Linked DNA regions of Coturnix japonica. The protein of the gene in region 2 purifies or fractionates together with the protein of the main gene of each other region. This does not show direct contact. Links are inferred from orthologs where the notes say so. Each region holds a gene or a part of one and is shown on either strand. Other genes may lie near its edges.

Evidence for each region.
Region 1: the proteins of ANAPC13 (region 2) and ANAPC7 purify together in Homo sapiens (affinity purification with mass spectrometry; 3 studies listed by BioGRID and IntAct, counting the BioPlex papers as one, with this or other methods). This does not show direct contact. The link is inferred for Coturnix japonica from reciprocal best matches to the Homo sapiens genes ANAPC13 and ANAPC7.
Region 3: the proteins of ANAPC13 (region 2) and CDC27 purify together in Homo sapiens (affinity purification with mass spectrometry; 5 studies listed by BioGRID and IntAct, counting the BioPlex papers as one, with this or other methods). This does not show direct contact. The link is inferred for Coturnix japonica from reciprocal best matches to the Homo sapiens genes ANAPC13 and CDC27.

The regions. Positions count from the first base shown.
Region 1 is NC_029530.1:4,517,549-4,527,573, reverse strand, and holds ANAPC7 (anaphase-promoting complex subunit 7), read right to left. Parts: upstream 8,781-10,025; 5' UTR 8,661-8,780; coding exon 8,560-8,660; intron 8,081-8,559; coding exon 7,894-8,080; intron 7,270-7,893; coding exon 7,150-7,269; intron 6,643-7,149; coding exon 6,531-6,642; intron 6,304-6,530; coding exon 6,150-6,303; intron 6,044-6,149; coding exon 5,901-6,043; intron 5,804-5,900; coding exon 5,686-5,803; intron 5,282-5,685; coding exon 5,085-5,281; intron 4,509-5,084; coding exon 4,284-4,508; intron 3,887-4,283; coding exon 3,736-3,886; intron 3,238-3,735; coding exon 3,048-3,237; 3' UTR 1,579-3,047; downstream 1-1,578. Other genes in the region: ARPC3 (actin-related protein 2/3 complex subunit 3), read right to left, coding at 9,696-9,758. UniProt on the Homo sapiens protein: Component of the anaphase promoting complex/cyclosome (APC/C), a cell cycle-regulated E3 ubiquitin ligase that controls progression through mitosis and the G1 phase of the cell cycle.
Region 2 is NC_029524.1:2,640,345-2,651,270, forward strand, and holds ANAPC13 (anaphase-promoting complex subunit 13), read right to left. Parts: upstream 4,526-10,926; 5' UTR 4,415-4,525; coding exon 4,316-4,414; intron 3,384-4,315; coding exon 3,258-3,383; 3' UTR 3,146-3,257; downstream 1-3,145. Other genes in the region: LIPH (lipase member H), read right to left, coding at 1,654-1,705; CEP63 (centrosomal protein of 63 kDa), read left to right, coding at 4,804-4,847, 6,275-6,455, 7,182-7,277, 9,344-9,469, 10,339-10,452. UniProt on the Homo sapiens protein: Component of the anaphase promoting complex/cyclosome (APC/C), a cell cycle-regulated E3 ubiquitin ligase that controls progression through mitosis and the G1 phase of the cell cycle.
Region 3 is NC_029542.1:2,303,398-2,314,335, forward strand, and holds the end of CDC27 (cell division cycle protein 27 homolog), read left to right. Parts: intron 1-756; coding exon 757-965; intron 966-1,175; coding exon 1,176-1,293; intron 1,294-1,666; coding exon 1,667-1,795; intron 1,796-2,270; coding exon 2,271-2,345; intron 2,346-3,235; coding exon 3,236-3,416; intron 3,417-4,097; coding exon 4,098-4,180; 3' UTR 4,181-5,494; downstream 5,495-10,938. UniProt on the Homo sapiens protein: Component of the anaphase promoting complex/cyclosome (APC/C), a cell cycle-regulated E3 ubiquitin ligase that controls progression through mitosis and the G1 phase of the cell cycle.

The DNA.
Region 1 (10,025 bases), on a different chromosome or scaffold from region 2:
TGACATCTGTGATTTCAAAGTCAAACACGGCTGTCAGGATTTCAAGCACACAGTTCCTTTCTCCTTACACAACCCAGAACAGCATGAGCTGCAGAATACAACTGGATGTCAATTGCTTTTTGGTGTCACCTAAGAAGTGCTTCACTTCTGGGAGTTTACATCACAGATGGAACAGATGTGAACATCTGCTTTTAGCTTTAGTGCACTACAACTGATGGGCAGAATGAGGTCAACTGCTTATTAGGGACTAATTGTTCTGGTCCCTAAACTAGAAAACCAGTAAATGAATTGAAGAGCACAAAATCTATGCAAATCCAGAGATGATATTCTAAAATTAAAGCATTAATGAAGGCTCATTGGCATACAAGAATCCCTTTGGATTTCTGAAGCTGGTGCAAAGTACATCTATGTATATAATATCAAATGCATTCAGCACATATCACATTGAAGTTCCTCAGTCCCTTGCACTGTCTTTAATTGTAAATACTGTAACAAGCTACATAACCATAATGCAAATATTTCTGTAGGTACTTGTAGCAGAAATGCTAAGTCACAGCTTGAAGCAGTGATGGAACACCTGGGAGAACCAGGGCCAACCCAGGGGTGCTCAGCTGCATGCAATGTACCTGAGTGAGTGGAAGAGGTGGAGCCAGGATCCAGCCCTTCCCAGCCCTCATTTAAGGGTTGGCAGTGGAGGTGAGGGTACCTTTCTGGACATCTCTGCCTACTGGAGGTCCCTTTGAGGTAAGAAGTTTTTGTCTGTGTCCACAGTTGCTGCCTTTGGGCTTGTTTTCACTTGCTGCAGCCTGGGGTTGGGCCACCCTTCTATTATCCCTTTGCTTTCCATCACATGACAGTACTGGTCTATGTGTTGACTGAAACATTTAGCAAAGTTCTGAGAAAAACTAAGCAGCAAGAACACAACACTAAGGGATACAACTGCATTTTGACAGCTCTCTTAAGGTGTTCTTAGGTGTACCTGAACTTGGTTACACATAAGCACAGCGACATTTTGTGGTTTTGTTTTTGAACAGCACTCTCAGCTTCACTTTATCAGACAATCAACAGACTCTATGTGGTGATTCAGTAAAGCTGTGGTTCTCAGGTTTCCTGTTCTACGCAAACATTGTTTCAGAGAAATGCTCGAGACCAGTGGTTTTCACCTGCAGCTTGTGATGGATTTAAAGGAATAGTAAAACAAAATGGCTGAACAGCTCATAAACTATGTACCACGTACCTCATTCATTTCTCTCGTCACATATTAGTTCTTAATATTAAGAAGTCCATTCTTCAATCCAGTAGGAATGGTTGAAGCATCACCTAGGAAGCTGCTGACCCTACCTATCTGTTGGACATAGGCTCGAGCTTTCATCAGATTGTATCCTGAGGGGGGAAAAAAGAGCTGGTTTCAATTTGTCTGTAAATCTGTATTTCTTTCTATTACAAAGAAATAGGCAATGAGCTGAAAGCTGTTCACTGCATCACAGAGCAAGGCTGTAAATAGTTAAGTTCTTCATTTTAAAATAGGTTCTGCTCCCTCATAAACCAGAATGCAATTAGCAGAATGTGCACTGTAACTGAAATGAAGCTGTTCAGTGTGTTTATTTAATTACAGAGCAGTCACAACTTATGCCAGTTCAACCACCAAGACAGCAGCATGGGCTTTTCTGTTCCTCCCACAGAATCTTCAACCAAGCAGAACTCCATTTAATACTTTGGAAAGTTTAAAGCCCTCAGGATTCCAGAGAGAAGAGATACTCAGCTCTTCTGCTTGTTTTTAAGTGCTAAAATACTAGTTTCCTTTCTAAGAATGTGACATAGCGAGGTACTTCAATAACGGTCTGTAAGAGGATTGATCTGCTGTGTGTTCTTGTAATTCATATAGCACATCACAGAAGAGCTTTTACCCTTATTGGTGCTGTACTTCTACAGCTAGGGGACGCCTGTTCTCTGTGTCAGGTATTTGTACAAGTAGGTATTCCTCTGTTAGCTGCTATGCTGAACTGCTTTTTAGCCCTGCATTAAGGTCCATCTGCTCCAGCATAACTGCGGGTACAGGATAAATGTGAAAGAGATTAAACTGGCAATGTAAAGAGATGTTTAAGGAAATAGTAAGGAAAACAGAATGGTAAGAAATGTAACAGCACAAAGTAATTCCTCCTCCTACACACTGAGCCCACAGAACTGAAACAAAGATCACCCTCAAAGAGATGGTGTTGAAATGATAACGTGAATTCAAATACTATCTGACAAAAAGTATATATATGACAAAAACAAGCTGATATATATTTGTACGTTTTTGCAGAGAAGCAAGTGGAATAGGATGAATTCTTATACCTCCTGTATGCAGAACATGAAGTGCTTTGAGTCACTGCTGTAAAAGCCTTTAGTAACACACTGAAGTAAAACTCAACTGCATTTAAAAATGTTTATGTACAGACAGATTATAAGGTTTAATAAGGGCTGGTTTGACTCTGTACACATAGAAATCAATCAGCTACAAAAGTGTCCTCTAGCTCAAAGCTGCCTGGGGTGCCAAACTTCTTTACACCACATGCAATGCCTTGTAAAAAGACAGTAATTAAACCAACACAGCGAGTAAGAAGTGCTGCTTTCAGCCACAGCCAAGTGACTCCTCCAGACTTCATCAGGAGTGTGAGCCCAAATCGCTGCTTACAAACAAGGGAAGAAGACCTTTTTTACAAAGGCATATACCAAAATACTATTTACAAATTGATAAAGCACACTTAGCCCTCAACACGACAGCTTTCATCATAAACAGCAGGCTTACAGAAACCTTAGATTCTAATGCTTTTGGTTTGATTAACTGCAGTTAATCTCTTATGCTTAATAAATAAGAAGCATCAAGAATCTTCATGGCACTGAGATGCATAGACTGAAACCATTTAATAGTTCTATTAAATTAAAAAAAAAAAAAAAAAAAAAGATAAAAAAGAGTCTTCAGTTCCTGCAAAGATCAGAGTTCAGAAAGGAATGGCCCTACTGATGTTCTCATGTGCCAAATCAAGCACTGGGGAGAGCAGCCATCACTGCATGCCAAACCACTGCTCTTGATCTGCCCACTGGGCTGCCTCACTGTCACTGCCTTCCAAGTCCCCCTCTTCTCCACTTCCCTCCATATCATCCACATCTTCTTCCTGGGTTGCATCTGTTGGACTTTCCTCTTTTTCCATTTTCTGCATTCCTTCTAGTGACTTCTGATCATTTGGATCCAAGCTGAGGGGAAAGAGAAGAAAAGTAAGTATTGCCTTAAGACTTATTTTTCTTATCTTTATGGTAATGTCACAAATATAGAAACATTTAACTTCAGAAGGTAACATCATGGTTCTTTATTACCTATTTAAATTTACACAGTAGCTCCTGTTTATATATCATCTCCTGCTCTAATGGAACAGCTCCCAAGAATCCTGCCTGTATAATTATTAGTTATAAATACATCCATGCCTCAATCACTTCAGTAGCCAAGGAACTCCATGTCCAGCAATGTGTCTGCAGTTAATACAATCCCTATATTTTGCACTCCTTGGCACAAAGCCCTGTGACCAACTAATTCATTATCAGAATGCGATGTATACGTTTGTCTGCTTTGAGGAAGAATGATGTGAAGCTACCCTTGATGCATGCCCTAATCAACCAGTGCCCTGGCACTCAATTTTTTACTTGGTTGGTTATTCAATTCTATGTGTACGATACAGTCTCAGCCCTCATGCTTACCTTAGGGCAATACTGTACTGGTCCATTGCTTCCTGGTACTCATTGACAGCTACAAGGAAGTCTCCCAGTATTCGATGCAGAACACAGTCACTCTGATTAGCCAGTGCATTCCTCAGCAAAGCAATTCCATCTTCATACTTCTGCTCTCTACCTGTTTATTTGCAAAACTACAGTTTTAATTAATAGTTTAGATAACTGTGTAAGCAGACTGTACTCCAAGGGCTACCACAACACAAAAGCATTTCTTCTCTTGGAGCTGTTGGCATGAAGGATGGCAGCAATACGCTTTTTGTAAGCAATAACTGCTACACACATTAACACATCATATACTTTGAATGCAAAACATTTTGTATACAGTGGCTTTAAGTGCTGCCATAACGTCAGTTGCTAGGTATAATTAATTCCCATGCTTTTTCCTTCCAAACAGAACTGACAGATCCCTGTGGTGCAACATCCCTGTCATGTTATTTGCACTGATGAGGCCACAGAACGCTCCTGTATATGAAAGAGTAAGTTTTAAGAAAGCTGACATGAAAAAAGAAACTTACTAAGAAGTTCTGCTTTCTTTACCACAGCTTTAATGTAATCAGGTCTTTGTGTCAGTGCTTTGTCCAGTAATGTTTTTGCTTTCTCCTGTGTGACTGGGTCTTCAAGGCAGACTGTTGCTAACAGAGTGAGCGTCTGTGCATTTGCTCCCAGAGTTTTATACACGTTATTTGCCATAACCATAGCTTCCCGGATACTGTTAGATGCCAGGTAACATTCAATGAGACCTGATAATAAGAAAGAAAAGCGTTTCAGTTTCATTTGGTATATCCAGATGATACCTGTTGCCAGCAGTTGAAATATTCTACAAGCAATTCCTAAGACTGCCAATATACAGTATGTTGGAAGCACTATTGTCCATTTTTATTTAATATTGAGGGTTTTATTCTGCTAAGAGAACTTTTAACTCCACAAAAAAATGCATACTCCCCCCAAGTATTTCTCCTTAACTATTTACCATCAAACTCTGCTCATGCTTAGGAGACAGTATGTCAAAATGAGGCTCCTGGTATGACTAACCATACACTGAATGTCATCATCCAAAACTGATCTGCTCAAAACACCCGGGTCTGTTTACACTCAGATTAAACCACTTAAAAACAAACAATTTGAAAATGCTTCTTATAAACACATGCATTCTCTAGTATCTCCTGTCTGACTACTTCTACCAGCACTATAGTTTTTTGGGTAAAAATAACTTTACATGTTAGAAAGTCAACAGGGGAAAAGAGCTTGTCTATTCTTTCTCAATAAGAGCCGTTAACACTGCACCAATGCAGTCTGAGGAGCTTTGTTTCACTCACCCTCATAGCAATCCAACCTGCAAGGTGCAAGACGTATCGCTTCACGGAAGTGTATGATTGCTTCCTGTACTCGGCCCATATTCCTGAGGGCAGCTCCCTTCAGCAACAGAGCTTGAACACTGTTGCTATTAAGCTGGATAGCTTTGGCTCCTAAATATAAGGCACGGGAGTATCGTTTACTATAAAAACTATGACACCTATGGAAAGACAAGATGGATTGTAAACATGTACTGCCTGTGTACACTCACAGAGACTTAAAAGAGGGAAGGAACAGGTTACAAGTAACTGCTGAACCTTCTACATTTTAAGTTAAAAATAAAAGTTTGTGTAAAAACAAACAAACAAACACCTCCCCAAACACCTCTGGAAAACAAACAAACAAGAGAACACCATTAACCATCACAGCTATTTAACACATCATTGCTATTGCAAAGGTTTAGTCATTCAAACCAGTTTAGTCTTAAAGAAACCAACCAAAATAGGTACTCCTGACTAGTTCAAGTTACTTCCAAAACAGGACAAAAAAGCTGATCTCACTCTATCAGCTGTAATGGACTACACTCAGCAAATCAAGGGTAAGAAAGGAAAGAGAGCATCTTACCCAGACACTACCCAGGGTTCTGCGTGTTGATCTGAAATATTGAAGAGACGGCAGCCTAAGTTTTCTACATCCTCCAGTCGACCTTCCCGTGCCAACAAATAGCCATACACATCCATTCCTACAGTGAAAAGTTTGAGAGACAATATTTGCTTGCTACTCTAACTTAATTTAGCAGAACATTATACTAGGTAAATTTTCCACTATGATTTACTCACCTTTTATTAGGTAAGGATCCAGCATTTGAGCTTGTTCAAATTTTAGAATAGAGTTTTTATTATCTCCAGCTCTGAAATACAGGTCTGCTAAGCTCCCCAGTAGATCTACATTATCCCTCAGCAGTGACTTTTTCTCTAAAGAGCTTTAAGAGAAACAAATTGCTGTTGTTAATGTGTAATGATATTATAAAATGTCATTGAAGAAATATTTTATGGCATTTGATTACATCACACTCTTCCAAATCTTACCAAATTGTATTGATGGCTCTAGTGTTATCTCCAGTATGCACAAACGCATATGCCTTGATCCACACTGAAAGCCAGTCCAAGTTTGGAATGCTCTGAATGATATTTATTGTCATAGAGGCCACTTCTGCACCCTTCACTGACAGCGACAGCAAACCTGTTCACAGAGGTATTCAAAATCATACAGAACAATTTCAATCACCGTTGCTACAAATTATCTGAAGACAAGGAAGCACAAACAATTTGTCACGAATTTATAGTTTGCATTAAATACATCTGCATCAGATATTACCTAGAGATGGCAGTCAATTACCTAGTCCCAACCATGCTTCAAATTATAATGCTTCTTAGGATTGATGTACTTAACAGCGTGGAGAAACCTACCTAGTATGGCATCAAGTGCTAACGGGCACTGCCTCAGTACTTCCTTGTAGCTTGTAACAGAGGAGCGTTCTTGACCTGCTTTCTTGTATAGATTTGCCAGCATCATATTGATCTGCAAGTATTAGAAAGGAGTCCTCACTAAGAAAAGGTCACAACTTTGCCCTCCCTCCAGCATGCCGTCCCTCCCTTCCGTTCTGAGTAGAGATCACTATAACCTACTATGTATGTATTATAAAATTAATATTGACTCTTGAGTCCAAATGTAAAATGTACATCTTTTTATTTACATAGTACAACTGGAAACCCCAGCATTGTGACATCCAAAAATGGACAAGTGTTTTAAGTATGACAAGAAGAACCTGTACATCCACTGCACTAATCTTCTTTCAGTTCATTTCTTCTATCAATGGAAGCTCTCAAGAGAAGGAAGGCATGAAATGTTTCTTTTTAGCTTTTAAATTGTAATCAGTGATAAAAGAACAGAAACAATTTAAGCTCTGTGCAGTCCAACTAGCTGAGTCCTGCTACATTCTAGTGTATATAGATTAAGTTTGCTTTCCTCAACCTTTTTTTCTACCTTCTGAGCAAGCACCGATGACAAACATCTGCCAGAACAAACCTTTGGGGTCCTCTGTCTGGAAGGAATCCCATCCAGAATGGCAATAGCATCTTTATCTTGCTTCAGCATGGTGTAACATTCAGCCATTTTATATTTTACTTCAATTTCAGACGGTAAACACTGAAATGAAATACAACTATTGAAGGCCAACTGTAGTGGAAATGTTATGTCACAGACTGAAACAGTGATGGAGCAGCTGGTGGGAAGGACCAACCCAGGGAAGCTCAGGTGCAGACAATGTATCTGAGTAACTGGAAGGGGTGGAGCAAGGACCCAGCTCTTCCTAGCCCTTATTTAAGGGTTGGCAGTGAAGGTGGAAGTATTACACTAGCAGCCTGCATACTAGAGACCTTCTAAAGGTAAGCAGATTTTCTTCCTTTGTTTCTGTATTCACAGCTACTGTATCAGGGCTTGTTTTCATTTGCTGCGGCCTAGAATTATGCCACCCTGCTATTGCTGTGCTTTCCATTACGTTATAGCATTATAGCATTGCAACAACATCATAGTTGTTACATTAATATGGTCTCGTTTAATGCTTAGCATAGATTAAAAATACCCAGTGCAAGAAAGGTAAAAATGTAGCTTACTGATAGCTTACATTGCTCATCTCTTCCAAAACCATGAATTACACTTCAAACATACAAGCAGTCTGTGGTCTAACACAATATTGAAACTCCAACATGCTCTGAAGCAGAGGGGGATGCACAATAGTTACATGCAGCACATCAGTTAGTGTTTAAATACCTGGCTCTGAGGAGTTGATGCAGCGTTCCCAGTAGAAGGCCTCACTTTGGAGGTTTTACTCAATGCTTTCTTCTGCTGCAAAGCCATCGTATACTTGCTCACGGCATTTCTATATTCTTTGTCGTGGAAAAGAGAGTCTGCGTGGTACACGAGGAGTTGGTACTTCTGAGATGGTGAAAACAGCTCCCTAGGAAAGATACAGACAGGCTGAGATTGCCTAATAGCCTGAGAAACAAGGACAGACTACAAGATGTTCATCCAGCTTCAACTTTGAGCTGTTACTGCTGCTTTACTACATGGATAGCAGCACTGTGAGGAGCTGTGCTGAAATGTAAGGATTTCAGAATGGGATTGTGGCTCTACTACCTCATAAAACCACCCAAAACGATTCAGGAAAGCTCTGAAAAACAACCGGAACCGCGAGAGTGAGGGAAGCGTTGTGATGTACACGGGGCACCGTTGGTAAGGGAAGAAATTGTTGTATCTCCACTGGGGGAGCCCATGCAGGGCCACGGCCCGCTGCTGCTGGGCTGAGGTGGGTTGAGAGAACACAGCTTCATCCCTTCAGGGCCTGAGCAACGGCAGCGCACCAAGCCCGTCGGGAAGGAAGGGGCCTGAAGGCAGGGGCCTGTATTCCTTCCCGGTCCCGTCAGAAGGGCCACTCACGGGTTGTTGCCGCTCATGGTTAGGAGAAGCCCGCTGAGGAGCCGCACGTTGGAGTGGAGCCCGGCGGAGGCCATTTCCCGTACGTGTTCCACCACACTCATGGCGGAGGAAGGACAGGACAGAAGGAAGAACACAGAACGGAACGGATCGCGGCCCGGCTCAGCTCGCCGCCACTCCAAAATGGCGCCAAGGCGGGGCCTCGTAACGCTGCCCACAGGCGCCCGCGCCGCCGCAGTGCTGTTGAGGCGGGGCTACGTGATGTCTGTGGTAACAGGGAGATGATGCTGCAGGGCGTGTCCCGTCATAGCATCTTTATTTCTTTATTTTAATTTAAGATTTAGACCTTGTGTCTGCGCAGCTCTCGAGCCTGGATGCTTTTCTCCTCAGATTTCAATGTGTGATGGCTGCAGCAGTGATGTGAGGTGGCAAAGCTTGTGCCTATAAGGAAACTGAGGAGAGGGAGGCCTCAAAACATGGGCTGCCCACAGGTGAAACACCTCAGTGGTGCTGCTGTGAACTGAAGCACACAGTAACTCTCATAGGAGAGTAGTGAGGTGGAACAGACACCTCAGTGTTCCTTCTTTCATTAAGTACCACAAAAGGCACGTTAGTGCTGTGTGGTGATGGTGAAGGTATTGCCACAAAGGAGATGAAATGAGCTCAGACCAGCAGCTCCTCAGAACAAACAGCATTTGCCGATATCACGATGGCTAACCATAAGACAAAGCCATTATCATGTTAATTACAAGCTAAGTTTATTGGGGAGGGGGGAAAAAAGAGGTAAAAAAAATCACTGCATTCACCACAACATTGAGACTCCATCCAGCAGAGCAATTAACACCACTCCAGGCACAAACGCTTCTCTTTAAACTCCCCGCTGTAAATGCTAACTGTAGCCACTGATAATAAAGCAGCCTGCATCTGGAACAGCATTATAGGAATCATTTATTAAGCACCAGCTTAATATTACTTGCTTACAGTACTCAAATGATCTTTTAACTTTACGCCCCTCTTCCCCTCGTTGACTTTTTTCTTCATATACGCTTCTTTTTCTTGGTACAAAATATATCCAAAACAAAGGCAGAATATTTCATACACCTGGCTGTGGAAATGCTTCATGGTGCTGCTTTGTCTGTTCACTGCCCAGGTCCAGACAGGCTCTTGTTCATGAACTGTCTCTTCACAAAGCAGATCCACCACTGCAGAAGAAAGCACACAGTTAGAAAACAGGCAAGAGATGTTTCTATCTTATAAATGAAATAGTGACTTAAAAGTAGGTTTAATACCAATTCCAATATATTTATTGCAGTGTAATAATGAACATCAGAAAGCTATGCCTTTGGAACTAAATTAGCTTGAATAATTTTCATGATGAAATGCAAATATATTTGCACATGAAATACAAGACCAGGATGTAATTCATGCATCTCCATCTTTTGGAGAAAGCAACCAAGCCTCTCATTGAA
Region 2 (10,926 bases):
ATTAGTCTCTTATCTCTGCGCCGTGCTGTGACTTGCCCTGGGGAGCACTTGGTTGGCACCAGAGCAACCCAAACCTTCTGCCAAAGAAGGGCTATTAAAGAGCTGCTCAGGATTTGCTAATCCCTGAGTTTAAAAAGCATTGTTATATCTGCACCAAGTCTGTTCAATTTGTTCTCTTTTCATTAACGAGATCAGATGAGTGCTGATAGAGGGGCAAAGCCTGCCAGCTTCTCCCTGCTGCATGGCTGTGTGTCACAGGAGCTGACACATGAGGGCAGCTGGGGATCCTGCATTCATTCCTCCTCCTGATAAGCACAGGATGGCAAATCTGCTTTGGTGTTCCTATGTTGGAGCTGGACATCTTCTGCCTTGAGCATGAGATGAGATCAACCTCTCAGATGTACCTGAGAGGGGCATCTTCAGCACAGCTGGCTTATGGAGACCAGGAGCAGGGGGGAGTGCTGCAGCCATGAGAATGGTGCTGGGCAGACCCTGCAGCAGTCACTGCAGTCAGTGCCACGTAAGGCTTGCATCCTCCTGGGCTCTCTCATTAATTCCTTGGAAATGGTGTTTGGAGACTCTCCCTTCCTTTTGTCTCGGGTGTTCATCCTATGGACAGGAAGGTCCTCATCTTTCTGCACAGAAAGAACGGCATCTCTATTTTGGCCTCTTGCAAAGTGAAGGTCCAAAAGGTTTCCTCCTCATCATCGCCTCATCTGTCAGATCTATGGCTGCCCTGGTGAGCCTTGAGAGACCACATTGCTCACAGAGCCCACCAAAGGGCTGCTCACTGCCCAGCAGCTTCTGCAGACCTCCAACCAATGGGCTCCCATGGCAGTCTGCAGCATCCCTGACTTCCAAAGCACCATGACCTTGTCTGGGATGTGCCATTTGTTTCAAGAGAACCTTATGCATCAGCACTAACGTGGTCATCATTGAGCACTGCCACACAGCAAATCTTACCAGCATTGCTGAGTTACTTCCATGTTTTCCACACGAAGGGTCTGCCCTCCACCTCTTAAAATGGCCTTCAGTACCTCCCACTTATTACTATGTTTCCTACAGTGTATTCATCACAATAAGCAAAAGGAGACCTCCAAGGCTGCCCCAGGGAACCTGATGAGATCTCAGCCTTTGTGAGAATCCTTTGCATTGTTCTAAACCCTGTTTGTTTCCCCCTGCAAAGAATAGAGCTGCAGCTTCACAAAGCAAGCGACGCGCTCCCATGAGTGCGCTAACAGAAGGCAGCACATTTGTTGCTTATTAAACAGGTTGATTCTTGATGGGGCCACGAGGATACCAAGTGAAGTTTAGCGTTCATAAATGCTAATTCATCCTTTGTGGCTGTCATGTAACGCGCCGCTGAAAAGAAATCAGTCTGCTCTCAAGATTTCAGATGACGTTTTTCAGTGTCGATGGATGCTGCTTATATAAGAGGAATGTTTGCAAAGTGAAGAAGAGATCATACAAATGACTTCTGGCTTCATGTCTTCTTTAGTTCATGAAACCAAGACAGTTTGCTTTAAGAGAGACAATGCTAGTTAAAAACCCTACACAGTAACCTTATAACGCAGAGGGCAGATAGGTTTATGCTTCTGCAAAGCAGAGTAAGCATTATATTGAACAAAAAAATCAAAGCAATTGACTTCCTACCTGTTTTCACCCCATACAAAAGGCAGAGGAACGTGACACACAGCCTCAGCATATGGGCTCCCACATGGAACTTGTAGAGGTAGAAAATCTTACGGATCCCGCGGTTTCTTTGGCACGTATTCGCTGCCTCTGACAACAGTTTGCTGTCTTTTTCTTCCAGTAATGTAGGTGTGGTGAAAGGAGGAAGTTCCCAGCCAAGAAATAAAGATGGGGCTGAAGTTATACAACCAGCTCTTCTTTCTCAAAAGGTGGGGCACCTTCTCTTGTAGCAGGATCCCTTGTTTTAAAGATTGTTTGCCCAGGGCTGTGACTAATCAAAGGCAGGAACGGTTCAGTATCACGCTGTAAGCAGCACTTTGACTACCTGTGTTGAAATTACTGCCTGCCTGTTCGTCTTCTGCTAAGAGTGTCAAAAGGGAGTGAAGGACGTAGGTGTGCAAAGCCGATCGGTATCTGGGCAGGGCCAGCACTCAGCTTCCCAGGACCCACATTGGTAGCATTGGGACACTCCCATCCGTGTTCCTCTGGTTCTCCCACGCTCTGTCTGTCTCCAGCAGGTGGAAGCCCAGCATCCCTTTTAACCTGTGAGGTCCTTCATGATTTGGATGGGCACCACTTTGTCCTGACAACGTTCCCAGTTCAACTCAATACGTGCTGCCAAGGAGCTGCTGTTTTGGACAGCACTCACACATCTGACATATCCCCACCATGTTTTCTTATAGCCCTGCTGGAACCTTGTGAATTCAGCTCCAATTCAAGCGAGAAAGGCTTTTTTTCCCCCCTTGCTAGACAGTAAGAAGTGGGCAGATGCACAGACAACCATCAGGGCTGGGAAAGGAAGCCTGAAATTGGAGCTGGAAAATCCTGTGGCAAAATTGGTGTGATGGGGATGGAGCCTGTGATGGAGTGAGAGAGGGGAAGGGAAGAGAGAACAGAGACGGCTGCTGGGTACACAAAGCCACCACGCAGCTTCTAGTGTTTTCTTTGCAGGGAGAGGGAACATGGGGAGGATCAGAAATACCTCATTAAGCCCAAGCTCTGTTTTGCCCCCTGCTGAGATACAGCGAGGAGCTGAACTATTACAGTTCCCAGCAGCGTAGCTGTTTCTAAGGTCTATACTGTACATATGAAGCTTGGGTTAATCCTGAGCAGCCTGCTGGCTGCATGCAGCTCCTTCTTGTTCAGATGAGCTCACTGCTGGCTCAGAGCAGGCACTGCTGACTCCTCAGGCAGGGGCTGCCCCAGCCACTCAAACCAAGCATCCTCCTACTCAGCGCCCATGTCCTCACAGAACATCCAACGTGCTCAGCCAATAGGGATTTTGAGTAACCATCATTTGAGCACAAATCGCACCATTTAAACAACGTGTAAATATACAGTGGTCAGCACTGGCAGCGAACTCTAACACAAAACACAGTTATACCTCTTGGGACATAAACCTCCACGGTCACAAACATCCCATCCCCAGTTTTGACATATAAGAACAACTCCAGATGGTGAAAAAACACATTTTTTATCATGTGTAGAAAACACTTAAGAACAGAATTGGCACCAAGTAAAGAATAAGTTAACAGAGAATTTGTCGTGAAATGCCCCCGGATTCATCAGTTTCCTGTGGGAGGGACGTTTTCATGGAGATACTGCAGAGATAAATCCGTCCACTTCATTTCTTGCTCTTTCACAGACTCAGTTGTGCCTCCATTGTCTTGCTCTGGTTCAGGGAGCTCATTCTGAGAACGACAAGAAGAAAAAAGGTACAATGCATTCAGTGCATAACAAGCTGCCTAAAAAGGAGCTGGTGACGAAGACTTCCTATGAATAAATACAAAAAAATCCACAAATGAGACTGGAGGGGGCATCTGAACAATACATATCATACATCCAGATTCAGTTAAAATATTACTGAGCCCAGGGAGGAACAATGTGCTTTTCATATGATTATGATGCTTCATCTGAAAGGTAAATTGGCTTTCCAGGGCCCCGGGGCCTTGCTATGTACTCAGACTGCACACGCAGTGAAGGAGAATATAGAGAAAATGCAAAATAAGTAAATAATAACACGGTGCAATTATTCCATTGCTTGTTTAGATTGTGGTTCTTTGTTGCTGCCCAGAATACAGATACTGCATTTACCGTAGCTCTATTAAGACAGCTGGCTTTGTAACATATCGCTTTCTTATGGCAAGGTGAGAAATCCTTCCTCTTGCTGCATGTGGAGCTCTGCTGTGGCTGTGCTGTAACAACAGGAGATACAACACCAAGCTGCTCAGCATGCAGGGGGGAGGAAGGAGAGTTTAAATGCGATTTCATTTGACTTCCTCGTGTTATTTGCTCCCCGTGTTGCTGCATTGGTTATTATTGGTTTTGGAGGAGGGCAGCTGCTTCCTGCCTCCTCTGCTGAGAAGGAGCTGCTCTTCTTCCAAGAGTGATGCCACACTGTGCTGTAAGGGCTGAATGATGTCACTGCAATTTGGCAATGTCTCTTTGCAGGCATTATCAGATGCCGTGATTTTGGCCGGCTTACACCTGTGCGAACAGGGAAGGGGAGGATCCTCACCCAGAGGGTGGTGACGCACTGAACATGTTGCCCAAGGAGGCAGTGGATGCCTCATCCCTGCAGGCATTCAAGGCCGGGCTGGATGTGGCTCTGTGCTCCACCTACCAGCGGGATGGCCACGTCCTCGTACGGCAGCTTGTCCTCCCTCCACGCGTCATCGATCAGGTCCAGGATGCGGCCGTCCCGCTGCACCTCGCTGTCCATCCTCACCCTCCGAGGTAGCTCCGTACCAGCCCCGTCCCGCGGGGACTCGAGCGGCCCCAACGCGCTCGGTTCTGCCGGCAGCGCTCCGCCCCATCCCGCAGCGATGTTCCGGCGCCCGCTGTACCGTCATCACCCGCCGCCGCCTCCGTTCCTTCCCCTCCCCGGCCGGCAGCGCCCTGCGGGTGGGCTCGGTGCGGTCGGTGCGGTCCGCTCACTGTGCGGTACCTTCTTGTTCCGTACAACCAACCATTTCTCTGCCCCGTCACTTCGTGTCTCTGCCCTTCCTGCTGCCCCTCTATTTCCCCCACCTTTCCCCTCCCGCTGCCCGTGGATGCGGTGGCCGCTGCTTTGCGTGGTTTCCCCCCTGCTGACCCCGCCGGCGCTGGGTGATGGAGGCTCTGCTGGCAGGCATGCAGAGGAATGGCCAGGGGAGGTATGTATGTACGTATGTATGTATGCACCGCTGTGTGCCCGGCCTTTACAACAGCCTCACCGCGGGGCTTCCCTCTTAACGCTCCTTGCCACTCTTCTGCCAAGCTCCCATGGTGTCAATGAGACCCTCGGTACCTTCTGCAGGCGGATGGATGCAGCGCACAGCGACGTGGCTGCTTCGGCACTTTGCAGCGGTCCCTCAGCGCCTTGCAGTCTGTATTTTGCCTCTCTAAGAACGTTATCCCTTTGTTTTCCCCTTTAAAAAGCCCCCTCCTGCCTTGCAGTGCGGTGCTAAGTAGAAGAGTGAGTAAATCCTTTTCTTAAGAGCCCGGTGAGGTTAATGAGACATGCTGAGAGCACCTGATTACTTCCTGCTTGTGCTGGAGCTGCAGACACCCTGAGGAACCCTTAGGTGAAGGCTTGTGGGCTTGGAGATGGAATAACAAGGCTTCATTTATCAAACAAACACAAAACTAAAGGCACTGACACCATTTCCATTGCCGTCTTTGAGGAGGTGACTCAGTGCTGTATCTTTTGCAGTTAACTGGTTGTATAAATGCAGTCTAGACATAGCTGTGTATCAGCAGATGCTGAGCAGGAGGTGTTCTTGCTGTGCATAATAGCTGCTAATTTTTGGGTAACTCGCAGGCCGGGGTGAACATCCAATTTAACTGCTTTTGGCTGCTCTGAGAGCTACTTCTTTCCCTATAGAAGATCTGTCAGCTTGTGAAGGCTGGGTATGTATGCTCTGGGGGAGCAGGGAAATTTCAATCCCTTCACCTATTGATTTCCGTTCCTTTTCAGAGCCTTCCATTTGACAGTCAAATTAAATGGGTGAAGATGATCATGGAGTTCACAGCCCTCCAGGGCTGTATCTTGCAAGCCTTCATACCGTCCTTAGCTTAGCACTTGTGAAGTTTTACAGGGCTTGGTTGAATTGGCTTCAATAATTACTGCACAAATTAGAAGCTGCGGCATCGCCAGGGAGCGTGCTTTCCCCAATGGGTTGGGGATGTTTTATTCTTCATTATCATGTTGTCATCCAACCAACGTAGGGGTTTGTCTGCATTTGTGATATGCTTTTGTTTTCGGGAGCTGAGAGGTTTCTCTGGTGACTGAAAGGGGGTATAAAAGAGCATTAAGGGGAAATGCAAAGTATGGGCAGAATAAGTTGTGGTTTATTTAGGTAATGCGTAGTACCAAGATAAAGGGACCAGTGGTCATAGGGGCTTGCTGTGACATTAGAAAACAAAACACACTGCATGTGCTCTGACTGGGGTTTCCAAAGCATGCCCCATTAGTCACTGCCAAGTTTAGGTCTCTGCCCAGCGATGTTCCGCACCAATCACTGGTGTCACTGGTGTCACTACTGTGGGGATGTGGGACCTCTGTGCTCCTCTTTGTGACCTGAAGCTCTGTCCCTTCCAGCAGTGGGTTCCTGACATCCTGCGAAGCTGAGCTGCAGGAGCTGATGAAGCAGATCGACATCATGGTGGCTCACAAGAAGGCAGAATGGGAAGGACAGACCCAGGCTCTGGAAGCTTGTTTGGGTGTTCGAGAGCAGGAACTTTCCTCTGCCAGGGCTGCACTGGAGGAAAAGCATAAAGAGGTACGTAAAGGCTGAATGTGGATCTGCGTTTCTGTTTGTTTCATCAGATTTCAGTTGAGTTTTTTCTGCTGTTTCGTAGAATCACAGAATGGCCTGGGTTGCAAAGGCCCACGATGCTCATCCAGTTCCAACCCCTCTGCTATGAGCAGGGTCGCCAATCCTGTTTATTGGCCCACTGTGTTCTGGACCTGCAGTTAGGAAGGTGATTGTGGATGGGAAAAGGGAAAAGAGTCAGGGGAGAAAGGAAGAGGAATGGGAAGATCTGGATCAAGAGAAGGGAAACCTTTCCCAAGAGTTTCAAAGCACTGCTTCTTTCTTTGTCCATGTGTTATTTGACATCTCTGCTTCATCCCACTGGGGTAAGAGGATGGCACTGCCATCTCTTCCCTTAATAGATAGTTTGAAATCATAATGGATACTTATAATGAACATGAAAATGACATTGTCACAAGGCAAAAGTGTCAGCTTCATCTCAGCCAGCGGAAGGCAGACACAGCTTGAAAACACGAGGCCAAATCTGAGACTGTTCTCATCCCATCCAACCAGAGATGTGGACATAAGCTTAATTTGTTTCAAAAGGACTGACCCCAGCTTAGAAAACTGGGATCTCTTAACATTCCTTTGCCACTTCCACTACTGTGTATACTTATGAAATGAAGACTAATCCCTCTGTTTGCTGACAGTGTGCTCTGTCTCAGTTCATCTGCTTTGTAATTCTTGGTTCAGGTTGGCAAGTTGCGGCAGCAGCTGGAAGACACTGAAGCAGCCAAACAGGACTTGGTTAGGGAATATGAGCAGCAGCTGAAGAAGTTTCAAGAGGAGGTGAGTTTCAAAAGGAGAAGGTCGGTTTTTAATTCCCTGTTGATATGTGACCAGGTAGGTGAAATGTTTGGCATCATTGCCATTGCTTAAGTGCCATGGTTTTAAAGCTTCCCATTCTCTTCTCTTACAGAAGAGAGCACTGAGCTCAGAGTGATGTTTTTGTGCTTTGCTGGCCCTCTTTTGGGCACATCAGGGGAACGTGGTGACAAAGAAATCTGCAGGAATAAGAACATGTTCTAAGCTGCAATTTCCATGAGTTAAACATCTGCAGAGTTTTAGTGCAAAATCTTCCTGTATTTGCCAATCATAGTCACCACAGCCCTCATATGGAAGTTGCTATGGGTACAGGCAGCAGCAGTTTGCTCCTTCAGCACTTCCTTAAATTAAAATGGGTGGTGGTGGAACCGGCCTTGATTGTATGGAGAAACTGAGATCAGATCAGTACGCAGCCTCATCATCATTTTGCTTCCACTGAGTCTGATTTTATTTGACGGGACCTGTGTTCTCTCAAACCATATCAGTTTGCAAGAAGTGATTTCAGAGCTTCCATCTCGACAAGCTCCTTGTTCAATGCAGGGTGGTACACACACAGTGTCCTGCAGGTGGAACAGCAGCATTCCATGTTGGTGCCTTTGTTCTGCCTGTCTCCACTTGCTTGTCAGAAGCATTGAGTTAAGTGGCATGAGCAGCCAGCAGAGCACTGACCTTTTCTCCCCGGAGAGTTCAGCTTGGTTGATGCTCACTGTGAGCCATAACTTAAATTAATTTGGTAGCCTCAGCTTTGGTGACAGAAGGCATCTGTCCTCATTTACAACACCTTACTGCTCAGTGTGATTAGCAGGAGATGTTCCAGCTGAAATAGTGGATAGGCTGCAGAGCAAGGCTAAGGTGCTTTGGCCAGATCAGGCTATATTGCAATGGCTAGAATATAGTGTGTGTCTTGTGGTTAAAACTGCACTGCACTGGTGTTTTACCCATGTAGATGGCATTAAGCTGCAGTGTTCCTTAGTCTGTTTTAGTACTGTTTGGGTAGATAGATTTTATCTCAGTTTACCACCATCACCAGTAAAATTACAGGTACAGTGTCCACCTCATGGAGGTTGCTGAAAGGATAAACCAGTGCTTGGAATCTGCTGACTCATTTGGCAAAACACATTCTCAATGAATGTGCTTAAGCACCTTCCTGACTCAGGACCCTGGAGAACCTTTCCTGACCACTGTGTGGATCCGAATCATGGGGTCTTGATTCAGATATAAGTTCTCCATGGGTTCCCAAATCGGGAATGATGTCTTCTGAGGTTCATAGGGACCATTTGGAAACTTGTTTAAATGCTTGAGTTGGGGAGCTCATCAGATGGAGAAATCTGTGCAAGTTGCGAGTGGTGATTTGCACAGAGGGTCACTTAAATGTCAGCAGTTTTCTCCTCACTTTTGCTTCTGATAAGAGTTCAGCATTCAAGCAGTAGGCGTAGGAGTGTTATTTTCTGTTGGCATTTTCCAGTTATTGTGAAGTACGTCGTGTATCTGAGCAGAGGATGACAGATGAAGTAGTGTTGATGTTATGTATAATGGCAGTTCTCTAATCTTCCTCCTCCTGCCGAGCGGGAGAGTTCCACTCCTCACCTGAGCTTCACTTTAACCTCTAAGAATGTAGAACTGTCCCTGTGGTTGGCACCAGGAGATGGACCTCAGGTTCTTCTGCTGTTACAGAGTCCTGGGGCTGCCTGTAGAGAGAGGAGGTGCCATGTTAACAGCTACATATAGACCTCCATCTGATCGATATTTCAGTCATGCTCTCATTGTGATAAGACAGAGGTCTAATTGGAGCTGCTGATGTCACGACTTAAGCGTGGCATCCTGCTCCTCTTATACCACTCAGCGTATTTTGTGATCCTATCAGTATAATAGGCTCATTATACAAATAGAAATCTTCATTTGCAAGCTGTGTGGCCTTGATTGGGGGAATTGTTTGCGTGAAGCTATTTTGTTTGCCTTCCTTCAATGTGCTATTTAATTCCTGCCCGCTGGCCTTGAACAAAGTTGCCCCTCTTGCTGAATTCTTGCAGTTGGCCAGGCTGAAGAGAAGCTACGAGAAGCTGCAGAAGAAACAGCTGAGAGAGGCAAGAGAAGAAGCCAACAAGAGGCAAGGGGATGACCAGGTTGAAATGAGCCGACTGAGCAGGAAGCTGGAGGTGGGCCATGGGGAAGCAGCTGCTAATTGGTTCTTATGGATGAACTGCCTTTCGGGCTTCACTGGTGACTCTATTCAGACAACTAGGAAGGGCACTGTGAATCCTGGTTCAGATGTACTCTCCATCTACTCTCTTAATGAAGCTCTTCTCGATTGCTTGTGTAATAAAGACTGTTTCCTGCACCGAGGCCTCTAAGTACGCAGGGTAAACTATTTTGAAGATCTTATTCTGCAGTTGAGTAAAAGGAAGAAAGTGCTGGAAGAGTAATTAATTGTGTGAGTGAAATGAAAGCCCGTGTGGTGAGGTTGTCATCTCACTTCTTGGAGGGAGGAGGAGCTACAAATGAAACTTCTTCTCAGCCATGTCTCAATCTCTGCTGTGCTGGGTTTTACCATGCTCTGCTTTTCCCCAGTGTACCCTCTAGACAAGGCTAACAGAGGCATGGATAAGATGTAGCATCCAATTGCTGGAGCTGAGGATAGCATTAGAGCTCTGCAGTTAGCGGTTGCCAACGATTCCAGGGAGGGCCTGTTTTGCAAGCTAAAGTCAGTCCGTGTTGCTAAACCTCTGACAGCAAATCCACGTGATGAGCTGTGAGCCTTTTAGCACTTAACGTTTGTAAACAGCAATAATTGACACTGATATTTTCAGCTGGGAGGGAGAGGGGAACGCAGCGAGCACAGTGTGAGAGGGGTTTTGTGCTGCTGAGTTGGTGCATCAGATGGCTGGTTAATGGTTTCCCTGCTGTGGGGGAAGGAGCGTGAGGATGTGGTGGGGAGGGAGAGAAAACATGGGTATGAGCTGGGAGGGGGCAAATCTTGTCAGCTGTGTGGATGTGTTGCTCTGAGCCAACCCTGCTGTCCTTGCAGGAGTTCCGTCAAAAATCACTTGACTGGGAGAAGCAGCGTTTGCTCTACCAGCAGCAGGTGGCATCTCTGGAAGCACAGAGGAAGGCTTTGGCTGAGCAGTCCGAGCTCATTCAGGTATGGTTAATACGTGTTGAAAGTTTCTGTTCTGTTGTGCAGCAGGTGGGAGGGCAGGGAGGGGGGAAGAGACTAATGAAATCTCTCAGGCTTGAATCCAGTTTAGGTTGCCATTGAAATGACTTTTAATGTCCCAGTGGAATAAGCTTTACGTGTCTGAGTGCTGAGTGGAAAAAAGATCCAGAGTCTGTCAACAGAAGTTAGGTAAACCTCTTGCTGCTCTCACTCCCCCGCTCCAATTAGCAGAGAAGACCGTAGGACGAAGCTTTCCCTGAGAGCCAGAGACCACAGCAAACGATGTTTGAAAGCAGCTGCTCCATCAGGTCGTTTAGTTTGAAGCTGTTTACCTGCCAATAGCTAAATATGTACCTTCTGCATCCAGCTCAGAGCATGGGGTTGAAAAGCAGCCTTCCCCAACGGCAGATACTTCCACCAAGTGAAGAAGAAACAACATTTTTCAGACCTGTTCCTTCC
Region 3 (10,938 bases), on a different chromosome or scaffold from region 2:
AGTAACTGTGTGCGGCACAGACAGTGACAGGGAACAGAACTTGGACTGGAGCTGGATTAGGATTTCATTCTCACTTGAGAAATATGAGGTGAAACTGGAGAGGGAGGTGGCAGGATTTGCCTGTTGAGCTGATGATGCCTGAAATGGCTGCTTGGCGTTAGAATATCAGCTTATATGGGACACGTTGTGAACCTTTAATCTATTAATGGTGATTTGAATCTGTATTGACATTGTTAATCCAGGAAGATCATGGGTTGATCAATTGTCCCTGCTGATGCCCACATGTAAAGATAAGGGATGTTTTTTCTCATATTATCTTCTAACTGCTGTAATTCACTGGCACTCATATTTCCTGCACAACTTGTACAACGCTGCTTGAAAATATTTTTATGCTGAAGTCCGTTGAGCTGGTATTATAACATGCACATGACATGCAAGCAAGCTGACATGTGCCCCAATAATAAGTATGTATGTGTGTGGAGGGGATATAAATCTGCTCTTGACAGAGTGGGGGAAGCTGTGGAGTCTGTTGGGATTTTCTGCTGGAGATGAACCTATTCAGGTCATTCTATTTTGTACTAGAGGAAGGAGGACTTAGTGAAGCAACTGGTCAGTACTGTTAAAACTGTTGTTTATAATCTAGTAGCAAGTGACATAATTGCATAGATCAGTGACAGAAGATCTGTTTAGCTCAGACTTGGTCATTCTGCAGGTTGTGAAATGACACTTCTAACTTAGAATGCTGTTTTTTATTAGGCATGGTGTGCTGCAGGGAACTGCTTCAGCTTGCAACGAGAGCATGACATTGCAATCAAGTTCTTCCAGAGAGCCATTCAAGTTGATCCAAACTATGCTTACGCCTACACCCTTTTGGGGCATGAATTTGTGTTAACAGAAGAGCTAGACAAGGCATTAGCTTGTTTTAGGAATGCAATCAGAGTCAACTCCAGGCACTACAATGCATGGTAAGTCTTGCTTCATCCCCCTTCTGCTGTATGTGATATGGAGCACCTTTGGGAGGAATAAGCTGCAAACGCTGCTGTGAATTTTGTGAGACTTTTCTGTCATTGAGTCATTTCTAAATATGTGCCACTTCTACCAGTCCATATTTGCTGATGACAATTAGTTTATTTAAGATGCACTCTTATTAATGGAACTGTTTTTCCTTTTTGCAGGTATGGGTTGGGAATGATTTATTACAAACAGGAGAAATTCAGTTTAGCAGAAATGCATTTCCAGAAAGCACTTGATATCAATCCTCAGAGCTCAGTCTTACTGTGTCACATTGGAGTAGTAAGTAGATTGCGCTCAGCTCTCTCCTTGTTATGTTCTGATTTGCCTCTGCCCTTTACCTGCAACCTTCCTGAACTTGAAGTGCAAAAACAAACAAAACAAAGTTCAGAGGATCTATTAGAGGATCTTATTGCATGAATGAATAACCGTGGGATTGTGTCAGAAAATAAATCCTCTTTTCTCCCTCCCCCCAGTTGCTTTTAGCCAGTGTTGAAATGGCTTACTGACTCAACCTGATAGCATAGGCTTACCTGTGAGAAAGCTTGGTTTCTTTAAGACTCAGTAGGAACAGGTTGTAAGTAAACGTAGCAGCACCAGTCAAATTTACTTTATTCTTTTCCCCTTTTGAGATTTTATTCCTGTTCTGTTACAGGTCCAACACGCACTGAAAAAATCTGAAAAGGCTTTGGATACTCTAAACAAAGCAATTAACATCGACCCCAAGAACCCACTATGCAAATTCCATAGAGCTTCTGTACTGTTTGCAAATGAGAAATACAAGGTAAGATTTGATGCACGTAGACAACCTTAGATTATCTGTTACTTGCTACAGCAGCGGATGGGGATGCAGTGATAAGCATTAAGGCTTGAAGCATGAGTAGGAAGAGCCTGAGGCAGAGCAGCTAATAAAGCATTTGTTTCAAGAAGTGCCACCTTCACTGAGCAGGAGATTAAAAGTCAAAAGCAGAGGATACCTGTGAGCAGGAGAAAAAAAATTAGATGTTATTATAGGAGACCAAAGCCCAGCGTATTTATTCTGTGCTTGTAATAATTGGGCCATAACATTCTATAGCCATTAAAGGAGAAACTAATGTAAAAGAAACTTGAGGTGCTTCTGATGAGGCCGTACTGTTGTTTGTGGTGGAGTGTGCTGTATGTCAGTTGCGAGGTTTGCATCAGCTCTGAGTTGCAGTTCAGCAATGCAATAACTGGCTGCTGGTTGCCAGCTTGTGCTTATTTTTTTTCTTCCTTTTCAGTCTGCTTTGCAAGAACTTGAAGAACTGAAGCAGATTGTTCCCAAAGAGTCTCTTGTTTACTTCTTAATAGGAAAGGTAGGTGAAATTTCACTGTGTTTGTAAGCACTTTGTTTTCCTTCATTGCAGAAACGTCTGCTTAATGAGGAAACTTGAAGCCTGTTGCCAAGCTGTTTACATTTGGGGCAGCATTGTAAAATTCACAGAGCCTTCAATAAGACTTGCTGCATATAATCTCACAGCTCTCCAACGTAACAGCTTTCAGCCTTAAAAGACTGGAGCAACCTCAAGCTATTTTTATAACCACCCAAGAAAAGATAACCCAAGCTCCTGTTGTCTTCTTTTACATCTGTTGTCTCAGAGGAATTCATTTTAGAAAGCAAGAAATGGATCTTTATTGAGATCTTTAACTGCAAAGAGGTTGCAGTAGTTAGAACAGCTTTCAGGGCTAGGCTGACTATCAGTCATCTGTGTTGGTTATTTGGGCCTGGAGATGTGAAAGTGTTGAACCATGCTCAAATGTATAAATGTATTAATATTGCATCAGAAGTGCTGAGTAAGTGTCTGTGGGGTGCTTTTACTCCTCCGTGTCTGTTTCAGCTGATGGCCTTTGCAAGTGGGTTACAGAAGGCGATATCCTTCTGTATCAGTTTGGGAAGTGGGAAATCTTAATGAGGCTGTAGGAGTTCCGAGGCTTAAATTACATCTGAAGAACCACTTCCTTATGTTCTTGAATCTGTTGGCTGCTAATTTCATTTGATCACTTCATTTAAATTTGGGCACTTAGGCAGAAACACTCATGCACTTTTTCTACATGCTTTTGCTGTTTCCCTCTGGACTTGTGTAATAAATGTTTGAATCTACTCTACTGCTTCTCATATGTGTTAGTTAACTGTGACTTATTGTGTTTGTTGTCCAACCTTTCACACAGCACCTTGTAAACGTAGCATTTCATGCTTTTATTTTAGGTTTATAAAAAGCTGGGGCAAACCCATTTGGCCCTAATGAATTTCTCCTGGGCGATGGACTTAGATCCCAAAGGAGCCAACAACCAAATTAAAGAGGCTATCGATAAACGTTACCTTCCAGATGACGAGGAACCAATAACTCAAGAAGAGCAAATCAGTGAATGTTATCCCTATGAATCAGGTTTGTATTTTGCATATGCGTGTTCTGCATCCCTAAATCTTCACCTGGAAAAGCTGTTAGGGTGTATATCATAGTAATTCCTAGTGGTCTTGTCCCACTGTGCTTTCAATATGGGGAGCTGCACTGCACTTCCTGATGTGCCAGGCTTTCCTCTTGCTGTTGAGGTTGGATTACCTGCATATAATCTGCATGTAAGGCTGGTGCACTTTGTGGGCTGAGTCACCAGAAGATGGAGACAGAGTACTGGAACTTCAGTGGCAGTCAAATGATGGAGCAGAGGGTGGGAGGTTGGGGGAAGCCCCGTGACTTAATCTGTCCTATAAATATAACTGAAATAAAAGGTGTACGTTTGGATCATAAGTGATCACAATCACAGTGCATTGATGTGGTGGGTAACAGGAGCGAGCATCTGTTAAGTGAAGGAGACTGCAGGTTTTTGTATTTTGTGATCCCAATTCCTTTCTAAATGCATTTATTTCAACTGTATTAAGCTAGCGGGGGGTCACCTTATTGCAATGAAAAGACCTTATGGCTCCTTAAGCCTTTTGAGGGAGGGGGATGAAGGCAGGAGCTCAGTTTCACATTGATGAGGTACCAACATGTTGCTGCTGTGCTGCAGTTGGCTGTGCAGGAACTGTAGTCAAGTTTTGACCAATTTTGTGTTCTGTTTCTTTTTCCAAGTTGGCACAGACGAATCCCAAGAGAGCAGCATGACGGATGCAGATGACACACAGCTCCATGCAGTTGAAAGCGATGAATTTTAACCTCCAAAAAGCCAACATGTGGGCTTGAGTGTGTGACTGGTACTGTTGTGTTCTCCCTTTCCTTTGCGTCCTGGGTCTTCACATCACTGAGCCAGCATTGTCATGAATTCTCCACTGACACCATGAGTTCACCGCTCAGACTGTGCACAGAATTAATGGCAGTGCAATATTTGGCTGCTGCTGAGGTTGACTTGTTGGCTCTTATAAGGAGGAAATGCTGGGTTTTTGGTTTATTTTGGACTCCCCTTTGCTGGAAAAAATATCATGGAAGAGACGTGCGGGTTGCTGTAACGAAGCCAGTAGATGTGGGGGCAGTACTAATGAAGCGGTGTCTTGTTCCTTTCCCAGAAGTGTGTCTTAGTTTGGTTCTTTCTTGGTGAGCAGAGTGCTGAACTTCATTTCCGAGTTCTTTGAGGACAGTGTTGACAAATGCTGTTAAAGACTTTTGCATATTGTAGTGTAACTTAAATGCCAGGGAATGTAAATGACCTTAAAGCTGCAGCATCTCCAGTGAACAAACAGAGCGTGTGTGCTCAGGGCTGGGGCTGTCAGACCATGTAACAGCACCCTGTGTCCCTCTTAGAGTGCAAACCTGCAGGGATGGGGACGTAGCAAGAGAATCACAGTGCAGAATCACAGCTTTCACGGAGAACTTTCATGTCCTTAACAGAGACTTAATTTATTCACCTAGTTTCTAAGATGTCTTTACTTTGTACGTTAAACAAGTCAGCGGTGCATTGCTCCATTTGTTTTTTCATACACCCCCTTGAGTTGTTCTTCCCGGTGTGAAAATAAACATTAATAAAGGGGCAAAACCAAGAGAGAGAAATGCAGATACGACTTAACGTGGATCCACCGAGCCCTTTCCCTGCAGTGACTGCCTGCTGCTGAACCAATCCATGGGGAAGACCAGAAGCCTTAATGCAAAATCAGAACCTTACAGTCGAATGCATCAGGTAACAATTGCCTCAGATCGGATCCTTTTTAAACCAGTTTTGTAACGTGTGGTCCAAGCGGAGTGCAGAGATGTGCAGTTCTCTGTGGTTTTGGGTTTGTTTTAAGCTGTTCTTTGAGGTCCTCGGAATCGCTTTCTCTCTATAGGATTATAGACCCCTTCCCTCCTCCCTGAGGCTGTTTCTGTGTGAAGAAAGCTGTGCCACACTGAGTCCAAAACGACCTTTCTCTGTAGTGTTTTGCAGCAACAATTGGTGCCCTTTATGCAGTGATGATAAAGAAAGTGTATGATAAAAGCAGTTTTAAAGAGCGATTTATGCATAATAAATTGGGAATGATATAAATTTCATAGCAACATAACTTGTTGGTGTCAGCCTTGATCTTTTTGTTGCTGTCTTGTGAAGGGTTTCTCTCTGTGCATTAAACCATAGCATTGCACTGTGCTCCATCACAGCTCCTTGCTGTTGTGAGTCATAGGGACACATTTATTGCATGAGAAATAACCCAAAGTGCAGCCTTTGTGTTCTTGGACAAGCAGAGGAAAGTGAGCTGAGCATCCCCAGCATTGTGAAGGTCCTGAAAGGTGAAGAATAAACACCCCCCCCTCCACTGATGGAGGCAGTGCCTGCATCTGCCCTGCCACAATGGATGGAGTCTTTTGGTTCCCAACCCATTTTCTAAGCAGAAATAATGAGCTTCATCCCCAGGAGCTCCTCAGCTGCAGCAGGTGAGTCTTTCCCTGTGTATGGGAAGGAACACCGAGTGCTTCCAGCTCCCAGAGCAGCACCTTGCTTGGTTCATCTCCTTTCCATCCTCTGCTGCTGCTCTGACTTCCCCCAGGAATTGCTGCTTGTTTTGACCTGAGGCTTAGGAAGCCAGGGGGCTCCTTCCCTCCTGTGGCCATTGAGAACAGTTACACAACAGTCATGAACTCAGCTGGGGTGCTGGATACTCACTGAAGATTCAATACTTGCATCTGTCCCCATGTTTATGTGTACATCATACCTTTAAAATGGGCTTTTATAGAAGAACCTGAAGTTGGAAGCAGATTTAGCAGCTTTCTGCCCCTATGAGCTGCTGTGTCCTGAGCTGGGGCTGCAGGTTTTCTGTTGTGGGCTGTGTGAGCCCTCCCAGCACCTCAATACTCCTCAATAAGGGCAGCTGTGAGTGCTGGGTGCTGCAGGAAGGGTCTCAGTTCTGTTATCCTTAAAGCTGTTGGCACTCAGTTTGTTACAGCAGCCCCATCTGTCTCCTTTCTGCCTTTGGCTGTTGGGGTTGCATTGAATTTGAGCCCTCCTCCCTTTCATTTCTGTATTTCTCAGCCCTGCCCTTCACTCTTCTGCTCCTGATGCTTCCTCTGTACCTTGTGCTGCTGGGGCTGCACGTTTCCCAGCAGTGAAGTAAAGGGAAAAGCAACGTGTGCTGCAATCCCCCCCCCACCCTGCAGTGCCATGCACTGTGTTAGGGCTGGGCAGCATCGCAGGGCTCCCAGCTCAGGAATCCTCTTGGTGCTTTATGGGCACAGACAGCTTTGTGCTCTTCATGCTGCCTCGGTGGGCACTTAATGCTGCTCTCTGCTTCCTGCCCCTCCATCAGTATTAGGGGTTTGATTTCAAACACCCTCATGGTGCAAATAGGGGAGGGCTCAGAAATGGCCCCTCTTTAACCACAGCTCAGTTCCTGGAGCTGTATGTTCCTTTCTGACCACCTTCAGCTGTTGTATCAGCTCAAAGTCTCCCCTGGTTTATGGAATCCATCAGTCCCTGATGTTGCCTACAGCAGAAATGAAGGTGCCCACAGCCATGGATGGGCTCTGGGCACCCTGAGCTGGGAGTGGGCAACCAATGTGTGGTGCAGGGTTGGAAGCAGGTGAGCTTTAATGTGTCCTGCTCTGCTTGCAGGGCTGGCTGCTCTGGGAATACCCACCAACATCCAGCTTCATTCTCCAGCCCACATTGTGAGGCTGAGCTTGGCTTTAACTCACTGAGCATGGAGGCTGTGAGAGCCCTTGGGAGGAGGAGCAGCGTGATGCTGGCTGCCCATAGGGCTGTGCAGGTTGGAGCTGCCCTTCATCCCGTGCTTATTGTCACAGCCATTGCCGTGCTCTGTCCTCAGCCCCACTCTGAGCTCATCCTCCATTTCTGCTGCATCCTGGGGGTGTCCCATAGTTACATATGGGAAATGTACCTGATGTCACCTATGGGATGTGGATAGGATTTGGGCATGGTGTATTTCCTGCAAGATGGGCACAGTGTCTCCTATAGGATATGATTGTGGTGTCACTTACACCACAGCGTAGTGTGTACACACACTGGCGTAGTGTATCCCTATGGGGGATGGCTGTGGTGTCACCAGGGGGTTGCTGGGCTTTATGTCCCTGTTATATGAGGACTTAGTGTGCTTTGGGCCTGCTGTCACCTATAGGACACAGGCTTTGTGGCCCCAGTGGGGTTACAGCCCCGTGGTCACTGGTGGGATGTGGGCGCAGTGTCCCCTGTGCTGTGTGTGCTGCTGTCAGCTGCGGGCCGTGGGTTTGGTGCCACCCGTGGGCTGTTTGCGGTGCCCCCTGTGCCCTATAAGGGCTGGGTGTCACCCATAGGACCCGGCTGTGCCACCAGCTTCATTCACAGGCCTGGTGCACCCCGCGCTGGGACACGGGCCTGGCTCCGGCTGCGGGACGCGGCGCTGCGTGCGGGACGCGGGGCTGGAGCTCCCGGCCATGCGGGACCCGGCGTCATCCCGGTGCGGGGCCCAGCTGTCACCGCACACCGGGGCCGGCCGCAGCCCTGCGGGACACTCGGCGCACACAGCCCGGTGCCGCTGCTCCCTCCGCACCGCGCCCCGCACAGGGCGGCACCACCGCGACCCCCCGCACCCGCTGCCCCGCGCTGCCCCGCGCCCCCCGCCCGGCTCCGGGCCGCCCCTCGTTGTGTGAAGGCCGGGACCCCCCGGGCCGAGGTTCGCGTTGTCCCGTGTCGCGGGGCGGGTTGCGGTGCGGGGCGGGTGCTGCGTGTTGGGCTCCGGGCGGGGGCGCCCTCGGGGGTCCCGGCCCCGCAGCGGGGGGCGAGTGGCGGCCCCGCATCAATCACCGCCCGGCCCCGCCCCCTCGGCGCTGATTGACGCGGCGCGGACCAATGGGACGGGCGCATGCCCCGCTGTCGGCCAATGGGGACGGGGGAGGGCGGAAGGTCCCCACTTCAAGGCTGGTTGAGCGGCGCAGGTAGGTGCGGGCGAGGCGCTGCCGGTGCGGGACGGCCGGGTCGGGATGGGGGGGGGTCGGGGTCGGAGGTGATGCGGGACACGGGGGGTGCGCGGGGGGTCCGGCCTCGTCCCGCCTCGTCCCGCCTCGTCCCGCAACTTGGGCTGCGTGTTGCGGGCCGCGGCTGGGAGGGAGAACGTGGAACGGGGGGGGGGGGCGGGACAGGAGGGGCCGTAGGGCGCGGGGTGGGCTCAGCGCTGCGGGGGGGGTCGGTGCGGGGCGGGGGGTCCGTCCGACAGGGCCTGAATTGCGGCCACGGGGAGCGAGGGCACATCCCGGGCCTGGGGGGGGCGGACGGATGGACGGCGGGGCGTGAAGGAGGCCCGGGGCTGCGACGGTCCCCCCGCATCGCATCGCATCGCATCGCAACAGCTCGGGCCCCGCTGCGCCCTCGGGACGGGCCTGGGCTGCGGGGTCGGTGCGGGGCCAACGGTCCCTTCCGCTGAGCGCGGCCGCTTCTCCCCGCAGCTCCCGGATCATCTCCCGGCTCCTCCCGGCCGCGCTTCGTCGGTAACTTGAAGAGCGGTGACCGCCCGGACCATGGGCCCCGCCGACATGGGCTGCCAGGTACGGCTCAATCCGCGCGGGGTCGGGGGGACGCTCAGGGCCGACAGCGGAACCTGCCCCAACGCCGTGTGCCCCAATGCCGGCTGCCCCCAATGCCGGCTGTGCCGTCCGGGCTCCGGGCCGCTTCCCGTCGGGGCTCGACACGGCCGCCATCCCCATCCCGGCTCCTTATGGAGCGCCGTGATTCGGAGCCGGAGGTGCCGGGCTGGGTCCGGCCCGTGTGGGCGGCGCTGGCAGCGCGTGGGTGATTCCCGGTGTCACCTCCGTGTTGGGGCAGCACCCGGGGCTGTGGGGCCAGGAAAAGGCCGATCCGTGCCGCTTCCTCGTGCCCTGCATCCTCACATCACCTGCATCCTCACATCACCACCTGCTCACTCACATCACCTGCTCACACCGCCGGCTCCTCGTTGGGTTTACACCGCTTGGCTCCTCCTGCCTCCATCCTGCTGTGTGTTGCTGATACCCGCAGCTCTGTGTGCCCCCGTTGGGCGGCTCTGGTGGGTTTGGTTTCCTGAATGTAGAGAAGTTCTTTTGCTGTGGGTGAAGCAGAAATCATTTCTCTGTCCTTTCACGCTGATATTAGACAAACCTGCTGTGGTATCTGAGCTCCATTGGCTGACACAACACTGGAGGCTCTTAGTGCGTGTGTATAAAGTAACTGTGGGTTGTTGTGTGGGCCTTGGGAATAAAGAAGCCTGTAAGTTTAGGAGGTTATGGCTGAACTTCTCCCAGGTTCCTGTGGCTCCTGTTCATAGGAAGCCAGCAAGGGGCTCGTCTGGGATCAGTCCTCGCTTCTACAGTGAGCTGTTGGCCAAGCAGGGCTCAGCACGTGGCTGCATGGAGTTTGATGGCGATGCTGTGTGCCCCGTGAGCTGTGTGTGTTAGTCACAGCATAGATCTGAGTAGCAAAGCATTGGGGCTGCTCCCCCCAGCAGGGCAGGTGGGGAATGGGGTGCAGGAGGGTGACTGCAGTGCCAGAGGAGCTGGAGAAACATCTCTGTGCTGATGGCTGAGGCTGCTCAGTGCTTCTGCTTGGAGGCACTGCAGAGGGTCTGGTTGACCTTCATTTCTTTGAGCTTTCTGTTCCTGTGTCAGCAGCGTTGAGCCTTTGACCAGTGAGTGTTCAACCACTTCTATGTCCTGTGCTCCTGGTGTGTGCTCAGTCTCAGGCACCTAATCCTGCTGTTGAAGTCTGCGGGTCTTCTTCATCAGAGAAGAAAGCTCCATTGTAGCTTGTAAGTTTTCACACAGCTCTTTACCTGCAGCTCCAGAGAGAGGAAGGGGGGGTTTCTGGGTGCACAATGCTGTGTCTGCTTGCTCCTTCACCTCTCGCAATGGTGGGAGAGCTGCAAACCCTGCCCTGCTGTGTTCCCCTCGCTGCCAGCAGCTGAGCCTTGCTATGGGAAACATCCTCAATAAGGAGAGCACGGAGGGGTCTGACTCTTCCTGCTGGTGATATCTGACATTTCCCTGCATGGCTGAGGGTTTGAAGGCAGGTGGATTGGGCTCAGGCTTGTGAAGCACCCAGGGCTCAAAGACCTGTTGGTGCAAGGCAATTCCATGGAGGGATCCTGGGAGCCCTAAATGTGGGTTGGGGGTTTTCTTGCTCAGGATAAAGGGATGTACATGAAGAACTTCAAGTGGAAGGGAGAGGGGCTGAGCTGCTTCCTCCTGTCCCAGTCCTTTGTGCAGCACACACTGTGTTTGCTGGGAATTGAGGTTCCAAACTCACCCTTTCTAGTTCTTCTGATTGATTTTCGTACATGAAAACTCCCAGATGGATTTGTCTGTAGCACAGCAATGCTGGATGTCACTCCTCAGTGGGAACACAAAGATGAGTACTGAGATGTGCAAGCATTGTCCCCAAACTCACCCTGCATCTCCTGGCTTTATGAGGTGTGGGCTCCTCGTGGTTAATGCAAGATCACTTTTCCCTTGATATAAAGCATTCACAATGGATGGGCAGCAGCTTCTATGA